Elephas maximus indicus: one gene and its partner. The protein of the gene in region 1 interacts with the protein of each later gene in a pairwise test. Links are inferred from orthologs where the notes say so. Each region holds a gene or a part of one and is shown in the gene's direction. Other genes may lie near its edges.

Region 1 (9,667 bases):
ATGTGTGTTGTATGTTTCAATAATCGTATTTCAATATTATTTGCCTTCTTTATATTACACAATATACATGTTTCAAAACATGATTCTAAGCAGAGGTCCTTCATCTTGTCCAGATGCTAATAAGCATTTACCTGGCACAGTAAGAGGTTGGAAAAAGTTTAGAAGCCCTGCCCTAAAGCTTCATCTCATTCTGGCCCCTAGGGCCATGCTGACCATTTCATTAGAGGCTTCATTCTCTTATTCATTCATAACAAATGTTCTCAGTGTTCACACTTAAGTAACTAGCACCACAGGCACAGGTGTGCTTGACCTGGTCTCTGCCCTGCTGGGGCCTTGTCTGCAGCCACCACACCCAGTGCTGGAAAGGTCAGGCTAATAATGGGGGAAATTAAGGATGCCCAGAAGGGCAGAGGGTACCCCAAGGGAGCAAGGTTAGCTGTACCATCCCAGGGAGAGAAGAGTGGCTTCAGCAAAGGCCACCAGATTGATCAGCATATGTAAATATCCTGTTGAGAGGCATTCAAAGGCTGGTGGAAGTGGAGCCAAAAATGGGAGAAGGGGCTGGAGCATATAGGGGCAGGGGTAGAGCACAGCTTAACAGGGGTTTCGGTCTTAACCATTAGAGCTGTGGGTAAGGTACAAAGTGGAAAGGCCCAAAACAGGAGTGGGCACAGAGGTGGGATTGACACGATTGTATTTGCTTTTGAAGTGCTTAGTTGGGAACAGTGTGGAGAAGAGAGGAAGCAGGGAGACCAGTGAGGGCCCCCCGCGGAGAGTGATGGTCTGGAAGGGGGCGTTGGAGATGAGAAGCCAGTGGGTTCCAGAAGGACTACCAGCCCTGAGCCTGACCTGCAGCAGCCCTCGCCATGTGACTCCAAACTCCGGGCCTTCTTGGGGAAGCGTGGGGGCACTCGCTCATTGCTCCATCCAGGACTGGCGCTCCCTGGAGAGTGCCACCCTGCCTCCCCTCCCGCCCCGATCCGGAACTGAGAGCTCCCGCACATTCCTCGCCTTGAGCCAATTTTCACGCAGACCTGGCAGGTCCAGCTCCTCCTCAGGTCTCTGGCCTCAGAATTGTCTCGGGGCGTCTGTGAAGCCGTTACTGCGGCTTCCCTCGCTACGCCACGGCTTTCCCCCACCCCTGGCAGCCCAGCAAGCCGAGGTTTCTAACCGTGGCTAGGCTAACGGTTTGAATTTGGCTCAGAAGTCCCGCGCATGCGCAAACTGAAACCTTTGCGCCGGGGCCCCCAGCTTGAACCCATGACCTGAACTTTGCTAGAAATGAAGGTGTTCTCAGGCACATAGCTGCACCTGAGCTCATTTGCAAAGCAAAAGTTCCCTTCCTTTGCAGCACCTGGATCTCCGGACATGGACTTGGGAGGGATGGGGTGTCAGATTTTGGGCGCCAATCCCGCCCCCTGGGGGCTAGAGGGCATAAAAGCTCCAAGCTGCCCTGGGACTGGGAGCCAGTAGTCTTTAAGCTGCTAGGCCCCTTGTTTGCGCAAACAATAAATTTCCACTTTGTTTCCCTTGCAGCTGGTGGTGTGTCTGTCTTATTTCCATTGGCTAGTAGGACAAGACAAAAACCCTCCCTCTTTTACAGTTGGCGTCACCGGGGGTTTCCTCATGATCCCCTCCCCCACACCTCTTGGCTCCTTTGTCTTTCCAGAACCTTCGCAGTAGGGCTAGCTCCCTGCTTTGGGGCCCCCAGCAGAGCCCACCCCAGGGTAGGTCTCTGGACACTGACAAGGAAGGGAGAAGCCGGATAGAGTGCGGAACCCTCCTCTGAGGCACCCCCTCCCCCCACAGCTACAGGGGCGACCCTACGACCAGGAAGGAGCATGTTTCACTTTGGGACCAGGAAGAAGCATGTTTCATTTTGGGACCAGCCTCAGGGGGCCTGTGGAAAGGCTGACCGTGACCTGACCACTTCTGCACAGAGCGAACTTGGCTGTGGGGAAACTGATCCACCAGCAGGCTCTCTCAGTCAGGCCTAGAGCACCGTTCATCGCCTGGCTCTGGAAGAGGTCCACATGAGGAGCAGGGTTCCATGGGCAGACGTGGCTCTCTGCAGGGTGGGGTCGCGGGCCGGCTCCAGCCCACCCCTTGGTGGCCCACAGGTTGTCTCTCCAGTGACCCCTTCTTGGCTTGAGCCTGGCCGTTTCCTTCCTGGACCACACTTTCTTTTGGGGCCGGGCGCCCAGGGCTGGGATCCCCGCTCGAGGGTCCCCAGGCACCGCCCGGTTGGACTTAGTGTCGGTGCAGTTCTTTGGTGCAGGGCTCTCTGATACGTATTTACAGACATGGCCCCGAGCTAGCCCCCGGCCCACCTCTGTTGATGAAACCCATCCCCATGGCCCCATGCCATTGCGCAGCAACGACTTTCCTCTAGTACCGGCGACCCCTAGACAAAATGGTCGCTCCAGCCCTCCAGTAGTCCGGCAGGAGGGCCCGGTGCCCCACAACACTTGGGGTCACTTAACTCTCCAGTCATGTCTCCTTGTGGTTTTAACTTATATTTCCCTGAGGACCAATGACTTGAGCCCTTTTTTCTTATAGAAAAGTCTTCCAAGCCCCTCCTGCCCCTCTTCCCCCTCTCCCTACCCACTACTCTCTTGGCTGGGCCTTGCAGAAACAGCTAAAATGAGGTGGTGTCCAATAGGTGAGAATTTTCCCCAGATGGAGTGGTCAGGGAAGGCCCCACTGAGGTGACATTTAGGATGGGAGGTTGCCATGCAGGCCAGGGAGGGAAGGGTTACAGGCAAAGGGAAGAGCCTGGAAAAAGTCACCAGGTAGAATGAGTTGGCATGTTGGGAACAGTGAGCAGAGGTGTGTCCCTCAGAGTCAATGAGAGGGACAGACAGGTCCAGGGCAGTGTGAGAACCAAGACACTTTAGTGAAGGAGGACTAGAGGCATTCCCACTCCTTGGACTCCTTCCCTGGACATAAAAACTCATCCCTTAGTCCTTATAGGGTTACTATGAGTTGGAATCTATTTGAAGGCAATGGGTTTGTTTGGTTATGGGGTTAGTCCTAGGGGTGGGGTTGGGTGGGACTCATTCCCTTGATCCTCAATTAATCTCCTTTAAGCACAGCCCAGAGCAGCTCAGCCTGGACCCCCTTGTGTCTAGTGGCCTAGCTCTGAGCCCTCACACCTAGGGAGGTTTGACTCCACACCTCAAAGAAAATTAACTGGACTGCAGAAAAACTCTGTCAAATCATTGTGATGGGATTATTTGGGGGGTGGGGCAGGGTGGGATTGAAGAGGTGATTACAGCACACCAGACAGTACTAAACAAAATCGGATGTCCTCCTGGCCCTCCCAGAACCTCTTAACTCAGGTCTCTTCTGTGTCTCCCACTCTTTAACCTTCTCAACTCCTTGTTCTCTCCCCAACCCCCCTCAGCTCACAAGGCCAAAAGCAGACAAAGAACAACTAGCACACCTGAGGGGCCTCACCTGGGTGGGGACATCACATCATCCCACTCGGGCCCCATTTCTAAGATGAGGAAACTGAGAAGCATTAGTCCAAAGGCGGTCTATTGCAGAAGTCTCCAACTCAGGGCCAAGCTTTTCCAGCTTGCTGAGTGCACATGCCCTGGAAAGTGGGAAGCGGGTCAGTGGACACAGGGGAGGTGTCTGGGGAAGGGGGCGGTGTCTCTGCCTCCCACGGAGGAGAAAGACAGAGAATGGCGGCTGTACAGGGAGGGCGTCTTGCTCCAGCCATCAACTAGGTGCCCTGCGGTCCCTCCCCCCACCCCCACCCCCCCACTCCCCCGCCTCTGCGCACTCTTCTTGCTGCGGGGTCCAGGTGGGACTCACGCAGACCCCCAGGGCCTCTCTCCACCCAGTCTCTCAGTAAGATGTCACTGAGAGGGGTCAGTGGTGGCCGGGGATCCGCAGTTCATGATGGCGATCATGGGACGCTGACTCACGGCAGGACCGCCTGACCACCGGGGGGTAGGCGGAAAGGGCCCTGCCAGGGGGTTCCCCAGCGCACAGTCTTGTTTACCTCTCAGCGGGCCTTGGGGGCGGGGAGGGCTGGGCCGTGCTCAACAGCAGAGCTTGCTGGGAAGGGCCGGACCCGGACTAGCCCGGGCAGGGGCCGGTAGCTGGGGGCTGGTGGCGGTCTTCAGGCCTGCTCCCCAGAGCCCATTTCTTGCCACCCCTTTCTCTCTGAGCTTCCCCACCCCTCCCTGCAAGCCCACCACGGTCCCAAACGGACATAAAAGTTAAGAAAGCAAAGGAGTTCCTAGAGGCAGCCAAAGAGTCCCACTACTTGTTTGGGCAAGGGCCGCGCCTTGGGCTGTTCCTGAAACCTGCGTTCCCCTAACCAGATGACTTCACTCTTCAGCCCACACTGTGCTCGGACCCGGACCCTGAAGCTCTGGGGGCGGGGTGGCCGGCCGAGCTGGGGCAGGAAGCGCGCTCTTCGCCCAACCGCCTGGGCTGCGTGTCTCCCATGGGGCGCTGCTGAGTCATACGCCCTCGCTCCTGCCAGCGGCCCCAGTTTTCTTCCCAGACCCTGACCCTTCCGGCAGGGCCGTGGGTCTCAGCGGCTGAGGGTCACCGCGGAGACGCGGGGGGGAGGGGTGGAGAGGGACTCTCCTGTCCACAGCGCTGCTCCGGGCAGGGGTGCGAGGAGCTGTCTGGAGCCCTCAGGGAAAGATCAGCCACACCTGTGGACAAGCCCCTGTGTGCTCCCACATGGAAGTCACTTTCGCATTTGACTATCCCCTAGCCCAACCAAACTTCCCTTGGTCTCTGGGTTTCCCAGCCCTCGCGCTTCCACAAAGCCAACCGTGAAAAAGCATGACAGGACCCCATCTGGGTGCAATATAGGGTGACATACCCTTCCTGCCCAACTCCTTCCAAGGTGTCTCCCCAGGCCTTTCAAACAGGTCTATTTGGTCACATAAAGCAGTGTTTCTAGGCTCATAGCTCTAGGGGAGTTGGTCTGACCCCCTGCCCATGAGGTCAACAAGCTGTGAACTCAGGGGCCCTTGGGCACCACCTGCTGAATTGAACCCTGTGCTGACAGGTGGGCATCTGGGGACTCAGCAGGAGTCTCTTGGGCTGCACTGAAGTGCCGGGTGTAGGGATATTCACCAACCCCTGTCCCCTGTGCTCTCCTAGCACCTCTCAACCTATCTCGCTCACCCATTAAGCTGGGGGCACAGCTGGTGGATGGGGGATAAATCGCCAGGGAGGACGCTGTGTGCTCCCCACCCCCCACCCCCGCCCCGGGAGAGGCTGATTGTCCCGAACGGCCTGGAGGCTACCAAGCTGGCAGGTAGCACCCTGTTCTACCACCCCGTTGTACCACCCCAGGGGGCCTGCTTGCTCTGGCCCGCAGTGCTCACTAGATTGCTTAGGCACCTCCTGGCGTCTAGCCTCTGTGCCCCCCCACCCCCTGCTCTAGGCATCCCTCGGCGGCCTGGGGACACTTTGCTGAGTCATGGCCAGGCCCAGGCCTGGGAGGGACCCCTTGCCTGCCTCTTGCCCCAGGAGTAGAGACCAGAGCCCAGCTTAGACGTCGGACTAACGGGGCGGGCTTCTTGGGGCCCCTGCTGTACTGGGGGCAGTGAGGAGACGGGCGGCAGTGAACGGGCCTCGGCAACCGTGAGGGGGGTGGTCACAGGAGACGTAGGGTGGCAGCGGGTGAGGGGCCCCCGCAGGGCGGCTTGCGCGCGCCGCGGTCTGGAGGTGGGAGCTAGGACTTCGCCGGGAGACCCCGCCCCCAGGTGGCCGGGTGGGGCGGGGCTTCCCGCATTTCCTATAAAGGCCGCGCGCCTGCGGCCAGCGTTGTACAGCTCCGTTCCAGCTCCTTCGTCAACGGGGTATGGCGTCGCTCACAGTCAAGGCCTACCTTCTAGGCAAGGAGGATGCGGCCCGCGAAATCCGCCGCTTCAGCTTCTGCTTCAGCCCCGAGGCGGAAGCCGAAGCCGAGGCCGCGACTGGGCCGGGGCCTTGCGAGCGGCTGCTGAGCCGGGTGGCCGCCCTGTTCCCGGCGCTGCGGCCTGGCGGCTTCCAGGCGCACTACCGCGGTGAGCAGGGCCGGGGGCGGTGGCAGTGACGCAGGCCGAGCGGCCTCTGTACGGCCTGCCCTGTGGGGCTTGGGTGGCTGCCTTTCCTTCCCGTCGATGCCTGATGGGGTGAGGGAGGGCTGCTCTGGCTTTTGGGTGAGCAGTGGCTCGCGGCGGGTCCACACTTCGGCCCCGGGTGCCAGTCTGGAAGTGCCAGGAGTAGGGACCAAGACTCGGTTCCGGCCCAGTTCCAGCTGTTAAGCGCTAGCCCTTTTGGGGCCAGGGGCTGCCACACTCTACGGGCGGATCTCAGGTCTGGGGGCGCCAGATTCCACCCCTCCCCCCGCCATGATGCTGCACAGCTTGGCAAGGACGCGCAGGCGTCCTTTCGGCTTTTCGGGGGCCGCGGGCACTAAGGTTACACTGACATCTTGCGGCTTTGGAGTCTGGGTCCTCTAGCGGGTTCAGATTTACCCCTACAGAGCCTGGGCGGAGCCGACCTGGAGGAAGGGGCGCCAGGGGCGGGGGAGGAATGACGTAGGTAAACAAGTGTGGGGTGCGGGGAACTATCCCGAGATAGTCTCTGCGAAGAGAGGTCGGGGCCAGATCACAGGACGCCCAAGGCCAGGCAGAGTACTGACTATCTAATAGTCTGGAGAGACGGACAAGATCAAAGGTTCTTCAGGAACATTGGTGTAGGGATGGAGGCTGGGAAGCCTTTGCGGGCCCAGGAGCTAGCTTGGGCTGTGCTTGTGTTACAGGTGACTCCTGGGGGTGGGGTTGAGGAAGTTGGTTGTGAAAGGGAGGGCGGAGCATCCAGGGCCAGCCTCTGGGAGGGGACAGTGCTGGGACCTCCCTCAGCAGTGCTGCCAGCCTGCCAGGTCCGCCCCTATCTTTTTTTGGGAATTTTTTTGAGATGTAATTCACATGTCATACGATTTACCCATTAAAAGTATATAACTCAATGGTTTTTAGCATATTCACAGGTTTGTGCAACGATCACCACAGTTTCAGAACATTTTCATCACCTTGAAACCCCATACCCTTTAGCTATCACCCCTACCCTAGCAGTCTGATTACCTCCAGCCCTAAACTACCAATAATCTACTTTCTGTCTCTATAGCTTTGCATGTTCTGGGCATTTCATATAAATGGAATCATGTGGTTTTTTGTGACTGGCTTCTTTCACTTAACATAGCGTTTTCAAGATGTATCCATGTTGTAGCATGATGTAATATTATGGTGGAATACTAGTCCATTGTATGGATATACCACATTGTGTTTTTCCATTCATCTGTTGATGGACACCTGTGTTGTTTCCACCTTTTGGCACCGCCCCTATTCCTGATGTTGTGATCTGGTGACCCACAGGCCCTATTCAGTCTGCAGATGGATGGTGTGATTTGTCCTGCATGGTGGTGGTTTAAAACCCTTTGAGCCAACATCTAAAAATGGGAGACTACATCCAAATATGGTATTTTAGCAGCACTTTGAACAGGTTCATTCAGGTTCCACCTGCTGAGACTTTGCATTTTGACCCTAGATATACTGAATCAGAATCTACATTTTAGCAAGATCCCCCAGGTGATTCTTACATATGCATTTTAATTCTTAAGTAGATTATTATTCAGTATATCTGGGGGGGTGGAAATGCAAATTCTCAGCAGGGGGTCGAACTGGAATGAATTGGTTCTAAGCCCCGGCTTATCTATTACTTTCCTAAACCTTAAGAAGCCCAAGGCCTTTGGAGGGCTGGGTCCCCCAGGAACTGGTCAAAGGCAGGATCTCCCACATTTGAGGATGGGCCTGGTTGGATATGGACCAGGGGCTCAAAAACAGAGCAGGGGGTGGCCAGCTATCACTGTTGTGGTGCCCTGCACACACACACCTGCCTCTGGCATGGATCCAGGGCCCCATGTTGAAGTCCTTACCTTCCTAACAACATCAGAGTGAATGGGCAATCTCACCTGTCATCCCTACCTCCCCCAGTTCACACAGGGGTTCCAGTTTATAGCCCTTGAAATGTCCCTTCAGCACTGGCCTCAGCTGGTTTGAGCAACTTGTATCCATCTGGAAGCCCCAGGTACTCATGTGCTGTCTTTTAAACCATCTAGATGAGGATGGGGACTTGGTTGCCTTTTCTAGTGATGAGGAGCTGACAATGGCAATGTCCTATGTGAAGGATGACATCTTCCGTATTTACATAAAAGGTAAGGGGCTACTCTGGGTGTGACCTGAAGCCAGGTGTTCCCTGCTGAGTAAATATAGGGCTTGAGGGCTAGGAATCTGAGGGCTAGACAGAGTCATAATAAATGCCAAGTTTGCCCTCAGAAAGGAGTCCATGTTCATCATGTACTGAGTGGGGTCTATAGGGTCTCTGAGTCCACTCTTGATGTGCCCAAACCAAGTGCCATGGGGCTGGAGGAAGCGTTGGGGGTACAGTACAAGCTTTATTTTAGTGAGGAGCAAAGCCAGAGTGTGCCAGCACAGCTCTCTGCTGCTCCTCAGCTGGCTGGGCTCTGCATGCCCGGTTTTCAGGTGCAGGGATTGGGACTCTCTCAGCAGGTTCTTGGGTTGCTTTGTTACTGTCACCTGAGCAACTGAATTCTGTGTGGAACTGGGTGTTTCATGAACAGCCCCACAGAGGTGATGGATGGGGGAGAACTTTGGAGGTGTCACCTCAGTGGCTCTCTCCACCCTTCCCCCACAGAGAAGAAGGAGTGCCGGCGAGACCACCGCCCGCCATGTGCTCAGGAGGTGCCCCGCAGCATGGTGCATCCCAATGTGATCTGTGATGGCTGCAATGGGCCTGTGGTGGGAACCCGCTATAAGTGCAGCGTCTGCCCGGACTACGACCTGTGTGCGGCCTGCGAGGGGAAGGGCTTGCACGGGGAGCACAGCAAGCTTGCGTTCCCCACCCCCTTCGGGCACCTCTCTGAGGTAAGCAGGGCCTCTGTGCGGCCTGGGGTGGGTTCTGGGGTGGCAGGAACCCCCTGGCCCTGCACTACCCTGTCCCTCTGCTTGCTCTTCCCACAGGGCTTCTCTCATAGCCGCTGGCTCCGGAAGCTGAAACATGGGCACTTTGGGTGGCCGGGCTGGGAAATGGGCCCACCGGGCAATTGGAGCCCACGTCCTCCTCGGGCAGGAGATGCCCGCCCTGGCCCCACAGCAGGATCAGGTGAGGCTCGCTTAGGCAGCCTGCCCTGTGTGTGCTTTTGAAGGCTAGCCGAGCTGGAGGACTGTCTTTATTCTCTGGTGCTGTTACTCAAGACTTCCATGTACACTGATGCCTGCTATGCCCATGGCTGGGCTGGGCAGTTTCACAGCCATCCATGTCATTTAATCCTCACAAGAGCCCTGCAAAGTGAGGACTATTAGCTCTGTTTCACAAGTGGGAAAGCTGAGGGGCAGCAGGGATCATCCAAGGCCACTAGTGTACCCAGCAATCAACCATTTCACCGTTTGGCCCATCTGGGTGCCCTGAGATCAGGCCTGTGGGCCATCCAGTCCCTGGAGCCTATAACAGACTCTGTTCTCTCATGTCAGCTTTCAGGAAACTGCGAGCCACGTCTGCTCGTATTAAAACACAGTCGCACGGTTAAAAATTTACACGTAGTTTGCAATCTACTGAGTTCTGATCT
Region 2 (9,587 bases), on another chromosome or scaffold:
TGCTTTGCCCCCTACTTTTTTGTTTTTTCTTGCTCTATTGCACTGGTTAGCACTTCAGTTCAACATCAACTAGTAGAAGTGAATGTGTACATCATCTCCTGACTTAACGCTGTGCACTCAGTGGACCCTGGACAGCCACTTGTTGAACAAATGGATGAATATAAAAAGATAACTTAAAGGTCACCTCCAATTTCTTGCCCCCAAGTGAGCCAGTCCATGTTCTGGGCTCCCACTGCCACCTGTTCTGCCATTAAAGCACTTGTCACTCTGAGTTGTAATTGCCTGTGTTTCCCAGCAGACTGGGTACTCTCTGAGGTCAAGTCCCTCTCCACCCTGGTCAGGACCTAGCACACATAGTCTCAACAAATGCTGAATGAATAAATGAAGGAATGAATGAGGCAGACACAAAGAGGCACCGAGTGTCACCTTGGGCAAATCACCCAGCCTCTCTGGGCCTGTTTCCTCATCTGTAAAATAGGGATGATATTAGTATCTACCCAATGGGGCTGTTGTGACAATGAAGAAGCCATGCATGTAAAGTTCTGAGCACAGTGCCTGGCTCATAGTAGGTGCTCACAAAATGGTAGCTACTATCCTAATAATAATTATTATTGTTTTTGATTCATGTGGAGCTATAGACAGACACAAGAGATAGCAACGTATTAACAGAAATCTTACTTCTTCCCACCCTCCGCCTCTCATTTTCCTCCAGCCCCACTAGCCTCCTAACAGTTAGTTCCTCAGACACTCCAAGCATATTCCCACCTCAGGGCCTTTGCCCTTGTTGTTCCCTTCAGATGGGAAACAAGCCTCAGAAATCCTGTGTTCTCCTACTCCTCTGGTCCCCTTCATACTGCATGTTTTGTTTTAGACGGATAACAGTCTAACAAGATATGCAACATATTATTGTTATTGTCTCTTCTTTGATTAGGACACAAAGCAGGGATGATGGTCTGTTTTGTTCCCTGATGGGTTCCAAGGCCTAGAACACTGCTGACATGCAATAGGTGGTACCCTCACCTCCTTCAGGTCTCTGTTCAAAGTCACTTCCTTCCAGAGGCCTTCTCTGAGGTAGACCCCTCCCACCCCTCAGCTCGATTTTTCTTCTCAGCTCTTGTTTCCATGATGTGCAACCTGTGCAGGCACCCAGGCCCCAGCCCCACATTTTCATCTTGCCCGGACCCTGCAAATTCTGTCGCCAGTTCTGGCTGTTTGCCCCAGTGCCTGGAACAGCACGTGGTAGACACTCAAGGATTTGTGGAATGAAGGAAGGCATGGAGGAGTGGATGTCCAGGGGAGGCTCACAGGCCGGAGACAGCAGCAGAGACGCACACCCCGCCGCCACTGGACACATATGGACATCTGCAGACATCAGCTCAATATAAGCCCGTGAGTGGGAGGCAGGGTGAACTGGCCTGATGCCCCAGGCGGGGGGCGCCTCTAAGCCTGCCTCCCTCCCCGGGCAGCAGGCCAGCTGGGGCGGGGGTTCAGATGGCAGAGGAGACAGCGCTGGGCAGCTTGGGCCTGTCACCTGGCAGCCCCACAGCCCTCAGAAGGAGACAGGGATGGGTGGCCACACAAGAGAGAAAGTAGTGAGGATGAAGTCCCTGAGTATCCCCTGATCATTCAGGCCTGTAGAGGGACAGTAACTATCCAAGGTCCATGCCTGGAGCTGGAGCAGGGCTGGGAAGGACTATCAGGGGCCCCAGACACGTGTGCTCATGTGCGGCTTTGGACATGGCCACTTGTGTATACCTGGACAGACAGAACTTTCTAAGATTGCGTTGTGTAGCGTGCACACATGACAGGTTGACATCTGGGGGTGGCAGGGAAAGAAGCATGTGGACACAGCAGGAAGCAGCATTTCACAGGGGTCAGAAATGCAGGTTCTGGGCTCAAATCCCTGCTCAGGCCCTTACTTAGGCTGTTGGTTTGGACCTGTGTATGGTATTAGTGTCATTAGGTTTGTCTGGGTTTGAGTGCACAGGTTGCATGCGTGCATGAGGTTGTGTTTGAAGAGTAATTTAATCCCTCCAAGAGATCTTCCTGGATATCCCACTTGAAATGTCACAGGCCCCCTATTCCATCACGGTCCTAATAACAATTTGTTATGTATTTATTTGTTTATATTGTTTCTTTTCTGTTTCCTCTATTAAATGTCAGCTCCATGGGCAGGGAGTTTGGTTCCCCAGCACCTGGCATATAATGTTTTTGTTCTTAGGTGGTGTCAAGTCGGTCCCGACTCAGAGCGACCCTATAGGACAGAGTAGAACTCCCCCATATGGTTTTCAAGGAGTGGTTGGTGGATTTGAACTGCCCACCTTTTGGTTAGCAGCCGAGCTCTTACCCGCTACACTACCAGGGCTCCTGGCATATAATAGGTGCTCAATAAATACTTGTTGAATTAAAGAAGGCAGGGCTGTGTCTGTGTGGGTGTGGGGGGAGTGGTGGGCGCTGGCTGGGTATCACAGGAGCCAGGAGTGCCCTGTGCTCAATTCTGCTCTCTAACCCCTTTCTGTCCTAGCTGTTCACAACCATTCATTTATTGTTGCTAGCTGTCTTTGAGTCTGCCCTGACTCATTGGGACCCTATGCACAACAGGACAAAACACTGCCTGGTCCTGTGCCATCACCATGGTCACTTTCCGATTGGATCATTGTGATCCATAGGGTTTTCATTGGCTGATTTTCAGAAGTAGATTGCCTGGCCTTTCTTCCTAGTCCATCTTAGTCCGGAAGCACCTCCGCTGAAACCTGTTCAGCGTCATAGCAACACACAAGCCTCCACTGACAGACGGGTGATGGCTGCACATGAGGTGCATTGGCTGGGAATCGAACCCAGTCTCTCACACGGAAGGTGAGAATTCTACCACTGAACCACCAATGCCCCATCTGCCCTGCTGTGTCGCCTATGTCTTTCCCCTTCTCTGGGGCTCAGCGACTCAATCGTCTCATCTGTAAAATGGTGGCCGGGTGGAGGTTGGATTGTTTCATGATAAGCTCCCTTCCTGATCTAAAATGCTATGAACCTAATTTCCCCTTTAATTTGCTGAACATTTATTGAGCACCTACTGTGTGTCAGGCACTCTTCTGGCCCTGGCCCTACCCTCCTGTAGCTCAAAGAGAATGAGGAAGACATGAGCCAGAAATCTCATTTAATCTTGAGTGCGCCCTCCCCCAGTCCCTCTCCTCACCTGCTGGAATTCTAGTCTTCACAGTGTGGAATCACCTTGGGTATTTCTCTGTTTACACACTGATCTTGCTCCCTCATCAGCCTGGAAAGTCAGCAAAGCAGGGACCCCTAGGTGCTGTTTATTACTGCAGCCCCACGCCTTTGCCAAAGGGCCTGGCGTACAGTAGGCACTTGGGGGAATAGGTGTGGAATAGGCCAAGAAATAAATGATGGAGCAAAGGGAGGCTTGGCATGCATGACTTAATAACTTCCATGAGTCTGTCGTTACCCACTTCGCAGATGAGGAAACTGAGGCTCAGGAAAGCAAAGCCACTTGCTCGGTTCCCGCCGCAGCTAAGTGGTGTGTGGCTGTTGGATGCAGCAGAGGAAGCAGGGGTAGCGGAGAGGAGTAGTCCCAGCTCCCACCCCACCCCGCAGAAACAAGAGACACAAGGGGGTGCACTGATGCGGCGGTAAGACCAAAAGACAGCGTAAAGCAATTCAAGGGTCTGTCTCTCTCAGCCCCCAAGGCTGGAAATGCTTTGCTGGAAGGAGACTACGAAATATTTGGCGCTGATGGGGAAGCTGCCTATTCCCTGTTGCCAGCTCTAGAGATCTGGGACGCCTGAGACTCTGTTTCTCGGCAGCTTCAGGTTCCAAAGCCGGGGAGGAACCCCCCGCCCCGTGCCTACCGGGGAATCCCCTGCATCCGGGGTCCTCCCCACACACCCGGAGCCGGGCGGCTGGGCCGAAACCCGCAGAGCGCAGACGCGGTGCCCGGGTTTTCAGAGAGGCGGGGGAAACACCCCCCCGTTCGGGCCCCCACCGTCCGCGGCACTGGGTCCCTTTCCCGCCGCAGTTCGCAGCACGAAGCTTACCTTGCAGGGGGGCTGGGGAGGGAATGTGTATGTGTGTGCGCGATTGTGAATCCCGCCGGTGTGTGGGTACGTGCGCGCGCGTCCCCGGGCGGTGACGGCCGCGGAGATGCTGGACTGCCAGGGCTGGAGGGGGAGGGGGGACTCCCCCGCCCCCGCCCGCCCACTCGCGGGCTTGAATGGACCGCTAGGAGGAAGGTCGGCAGCGGGAGGGCGCTTTTGTCTGTCTGTCTGGACCCTCCCTCTCCCCCGGACCGGGCACTCCCTGCCCCCCCAAACTGGAGACCTTTCCTCCGTTCTCTCCTGTCCCCCAATCACTGACTTCGAGGGAGTCTGGGAAGTGGTGCCCCTCGCTCGGGTGCCAGAGCTCCTCCCATCCGCTCCCAGCCGAGCGTCCTTTAATCTGATAATCCTGGCCCAGGGCTGTAACCAGGCCTTTTATCTTGGTATCAAAGCGTGGGTTGCGGCCGGGGTCCCCCAAGCTCAGAGTAATGGAGTCTTTGGAGCCTTGACAAGGAAGGGGCCCCCGACGAAAAGGAAGGAGCTAGGAGCGGCCCCAGACAGCGGCGCCCAGGAAAGCCCCCCATCCGCCTCTCCACGCTCCTCCGCCCGGCGCGGGGCCAGGAGCATTGGCCCCAGGCTAGACATTAGCGACACTCAGTGGCCGCGCGTGGAGACAGGCGCCAGGAAGGCGGGGGGGAGGGGAGGAGCCCGGGTGATTCCAGTGGGACGTGTGTCTGTGTTCGAGTCCCCGTTCAGGAGAGGCAGAAGACGGGGGCGGGAAAGAGACCTGGAAGGTGGAGGCCGATGTCTGAGCCGAGGAAATACTAGCCCCTAAGGGCAGTGCCACGTCGCCTTCAGATTGGAAAGGTCCCCTTAGATCACACACCCTTCCCAGCGCAGGGCTAAGTGTCCCCTCACAAGAGGCAGGGGGCGGGCCTTCTCTGCAGTGGGCTCAGGTTGACGTCATGCGGCGTGGCCAAGGGGACAATCCCCGCCCTTACTCTTGCCAACTGCCCTTTGAGGCCGCTGCAAACGCTCACCGTGGGGCGGCGAAAAATGAAGGAGATCGTGGCTGGAGCGCCCTCCCGTGTGCCCTCAGGAGGTGCCCATTGGAGCCCCCGGGCCCGCTGAGGCGGGGTCTTAGTGGAGACTCCCCGCAGCCAGAACACGTGCGCAGTGCCCTTTAAGGCGTGCTCGGTCTCCAGTGGCGCCGCCGTGGTTACTAGGGATGTGACGTCACGAGTGGGGGCGGGCGTGTCCGGCGGAAGCGGAAGGGGCGGGGCCCCGCGGCCGTGTCTTCAGCACCGCTGCAGCCGCCGCCGCCGCGGGAGCCGGAGCGGGCTGGGCCGCTGAGGCAAGATGGTGGACTACAGCGTGTGGGACCACATCGAAGTATCTGACGATGAAGACGAGACGCACCCCAACATCGACACAGCCAGCCTCTTCCGCTGGCGGCACCAGGTATAGTGCACGCGCCCGCCCGGTTCCCCGCTCGCCCGGACCCGGCTCCAGAATTCTGACCCCAAGTACGGGCCAGGGACCTCTCCTTTAACACCTGTGCTCCCACCTCACACTCCGGATTTTTATTATCTCCCGGGGTCCCTCGATTCAACTCCAGAACCCTGAGTACCGCCAGGACCCTGTCCGTCTTACTGCGATCCCGAGACCCCTTTGATGATCTGCGTGGGACTCCCTATTGACCCCTAGAACAATTTTCCCAGTCTAGGTTCCCAAGATAAGCGTTGGGTATATCCTCAGTCCTGTCCGCGATCTTCCATTTACACTCAGAACCCTGCCTCAGAGCCTGGATCCTCAATTCAGCTAGGTGATTTGTGGTCCTATTTGGATCCCCACTTCTGAGCTGGGATACTCCACTAGGCCCCCCAATCCTAGGGTCTGGAACCCCAATACTTTAATCCTGTCTGGAATCCACCTCCAGGGGTCTTGATGGGAATTCCTAGTCAGATTCCTGTTCCTAGGCTTGGGACCCCAACCTGCACCTGGGACCCCTTCCCTAGAGGTGAGATTTGCGATCCACCAGTGTCCTCATCTTGCCTGTTGTTGTTTCGAATTATGGCGACCCCATGCGTGCACAGTAGAACTGCTCGGTGGGGTTTTCAAGGCTGTAACCTTCCGGAAGCAGATGGCCAGGCCTTACTTCCAAGGCACCTCTGAGTGAGTTTGAACCGCCAATCTTTTGGTTACTAGTCCAGCACTTAACTTCTTGCACCACCCAGGGACTCCTCGGTTCAGCCTAGGACCAGGGTTTTGGAAACTCCAGACTCAGTCACCAGCTTCCATCCTGTGGAGTTTCCAGTTCTGACTGTCCTTCAGCCTCACATACTATAGATCTCATTTCCCATTACACTGGGAAACCTGTCTCCATGGCTTCCGGCCCAGCCAGAGCCCCTGCCTGTGTTTAATATTGCAGACCCCATTATCACCCACCTCCAAGACAGGCCTCCCGTGTGAACCTCTGCCAGCACTGGAAACCCACAGCTAAACCCAAACCCAGGACCCAACACCCACCCTGCCTTACCCTTTCCCGCAGCCTGGTCTGCCATTATCTGATGCCCAAATTGGTCCTGCACTCACCCAGGGACCCTACTGATTTGATTTCTAAATTCACTACCCCTTCTTTTATCTGTCTTCCCACAACACAAGTACCAGTTGCCATCGATCGAGTTGACTCCGACTCTTGGCAACCCCATGTGTGTCAGAGTAGAACTGTGCTCCACAGGGTTTTCAGTGGCTGATTTTTCAGAAGTAGATTGCCAGGCTTTTCTTCTGAGGTGCCGCTGGGTGGACTGGAACCTCCAACCTTTGGGTTAGCAGCCAAGCACGTTAACTGTTTGCACCACCCAGGGACTCCCACAAGAGAACTCCCAGATCCAGAGCTCAGAATCCCAAGTCTGTGTGACCTGTGACCTGCCACCCCGTCCTTGACTGGTAGTGCTCATGGGCCAATAGGATGACTCTCATAAAATCTAATGGTCTGATCCTCTGCTCCCCCAAATCAGAACTCCTGTACCCCCCACACCTATGCCCGTTATACTCTCAAACTGAGGGCTTATGCTGGCTAGGAGTTCTCCACCTCCTCCTATATGGCACTTCCCAGTCATTTATCCAGAAAATCCTCAAAGGGCACTTCCCCATCCTTATGGGACCCTACACTGGCTCCTGTATCTGGTCCCCAGTTCAACTTTGAGCCTCCCATTCCTTAAAACAGCAGTCTCCTGGGTAATGTACCTGCTGGGCAAGCCACTCGTATATGGGAGGAAGGTTCTAGCACCTCTGTTTCTTGCTGTGTGTAACATTTTGTTATGAAATATTTAAGACCTTCACAAAGCTCTAAAGAATGTTCTTGGGAATACCTATTTCTGTCTATAAAAGAGTTAATCTTTACTACTGTGTAGAGGTGATTTGGTCCCCATCCCCATGCCCGGCTCCCCAGTGCCAAGTGCCAAGGGCAGGGTGTCTGGGCGATGCCCCCTTTCCTGCAGTGTCCTCTTCCAGCCACACCCTCCTCCCTGGCCCACAGCCTTTTCCTGTCTGGCCGCTGAGAGCCCCGCCCCTTTCCTTCTCTTAAAGGCCCTGTGGCTGTAGTGGAGGCGGTGGCCTGGGTGTTTCCAGCACCAGGTTCATGGACAGGCAAGCTTGGATTCTGATCCCAGCCCCACCGTTTCCCACCTCTCTCCGTGTGAAGTGAGGTTCATAGGCCCCATCCATGAGTCCCTGTGAAATAGGGATAATATGGCCCTGTCTTTATGAAATTGTCGGAATGAAAGAGATTAGGTTTGAAAACAACCGGGCTCAGGGCCTGGGAGGCAGTGTTCCAGAAAAGGAGGTAGGCTTAGTTAAAAGGTAGCCTGGTGCCTTTTGACTAGCCCAGCTCCTTCTGCACCACTGACAAGCTGTCTCAGTTTCCCCAGCTGGGAATATTAATAATATCAATTTTGTAGTGTTGTGAGAAATATACTACTTAATGTCTGTAGTGTTTTGTGGATAGTATCTAGTACATAATCTTTCTATAAACGTTAGCTATTGTCATTGTTAATATTTAGGTAATTCATGGTCGTGGTGAAAAATTCCAAAGCTTCTAGTAGGGATAAGAGGACAAATGAGTCTTGCTTCCTAGCCCAGCTCCCCAGTTCCCTTGCCCAGAGACAGCCACTGTTCCTGGTTTTTTGTGGCTCCATCTAGTAAGCTGTTCAGCAGTGAGGTTCGGTGGCCTAGGTTTCCCCATCTGTAAGGCAAGAGGGCAGTGATTCCAGCTGCCGTGGCTCCTGGCCTGCCTAACCTGCTATGGGCCCTTCGTAACATGAGGTGTAAAGCTAGGGCCGGGCAGGCTGCCGGCCCCACAGCTCCAGGAGGCCTTTATTTAGCTTTCACGTCCCTGGTGGCCTCTCAGAGGATGCTGGGAAGAGCTTGGAGGCCGTCCAGCAGAGAAAACCAGGGTGGTCGGTTCCTGCCGAGGCCTGGGACCACCTGTAATGTCAGCTGCAGAGAGCCCCTTGCGGGTAGCAGGAAGGTTCCATGGTGACACAGGGCGTTGCGGAGTATGGGTGGTGGCAGAGGCCAGGGCTCCTGTCCATGAGGCCTGGGCCTTCACCCATTATCCATGCCGGAAAAGTAAGCCTTGGGGCTATCCCTGTTAGTTCAATTGGGCATTGGAGTAGGGCCCTGGTGTCACAGTTCTCACTCATCATTGGCCTGGCCCTGTGCTAGAAACCTGGGGATACAGCCTCATAGAAGGCACAGAAGTGAGTCAGCAGACTGTTCTGGTGGTGGTGACAATGACAGTGGTGATCTGTGGCTAACATCTACTGAATGCTTGCTGCGTTGGAAGCATTTTTTTTTTTGACTCGTTTAGTCCTCACATTTCGTCTCTCTGACTTTGGACACGTTATCGGGAGGGATCAGTCCCTGGAGAAGAACATCATGCTTGGTAAAGTAGAGGGTCAGCGAAAAAGAGGAAGACCCTCGATGAGATGGACTGACACAGCGGCTGCAACAGGGGACTCAAACATAGCAACAATTGTGAGGCTGGTGCAGGACTGGGCAGTGTTTCGTTCTGTTGTACATAGGGCCGCTATGAGTTGGAACCGACTCAGTGGCACCTAACAACAACTACAGCAGTCTTCACAGCAACCCTGTGAGGTCCCATTTCACAGAGAGAAAGACCAAGGCAGGGAGAGCTTTAAGCGACTTGGCCAAAGTCATGTTGCCAGTAAGTGGCGGTGCTGGGTGCAACAGCAGTGAAGTTGCAGCATCCACCCCAGTTCTTGAGCATTTGCTCTGGGCTGCAGGTTAAGCTGAGCACCTGAAGTACCTTTTCCTGTTTGAGCCCCAGAATAGTCCCCAGAGAGAGAGAGAGAGAGATTATCTCCTTGAATGGCTATTTCTGAGTGCCCAGCACGGCTCTGGGCTTTTTCCTTCAATTGCCGCCTTTGTTTCTCCTACTGCAACCCAGTGAAGTAGATGCTATTGTCTGCATTTGACAGGTGAGGAAACCAAGGTTCAGAGAGCGACACACTG

The links.
Region 2: the proteins of SQSTM1 (region 1) and CDC37 interact in binary tests that used the Homo sapiens proteins (3 or more experiments, as listed by UniProt). The link is inferred for Elephas maximus indicus from reciprocal best matches to the Homo sapiens genes SQSTM1 and CDC37.

Annotation. Positions count from the first base shown.
Region 1 is NC_064820.1:202,020,519-202,030,185, forward strand, and holds the start of SQSTM1 (sequestosome-1), read left to right. Parts: upstream 1-5,795; 5' UTR 5,796-5,842; coding exon 5,843-6,047; intron 6,048-8,140; coding exon 8,141-8,236; intron 8,237-8,736; coding exon 8,737-8,966; intron 8,967-9,062; coding exon 9,063-9,204; intron 9,205-9,667. UniProt on the Homo sapiens protein: Molecular adapter required for selective macroautophagy (aggrephagy) by acting as a bridge between polyubiquitinated proteins and autophagosomes.
Region 2 is NC_064821.1:28,498,445-28,508,031, reverse strand, and holds the start of CDC37 (hsp90 co-chaperone Cdc37), read left to right. Parts: upstream 1-5,306; 5' UTR 5,307-5,408; coding exon 5,409-5,510; intron 5,511-9,587. UniProt on the Homo sapiens protein: Co-chaperone that binds to numerous kinases and promotes their interaction with the Hsp90 complex, resulting in stabilization and promotion of their activity. Inhibits HSP90AA1 ATPase activity.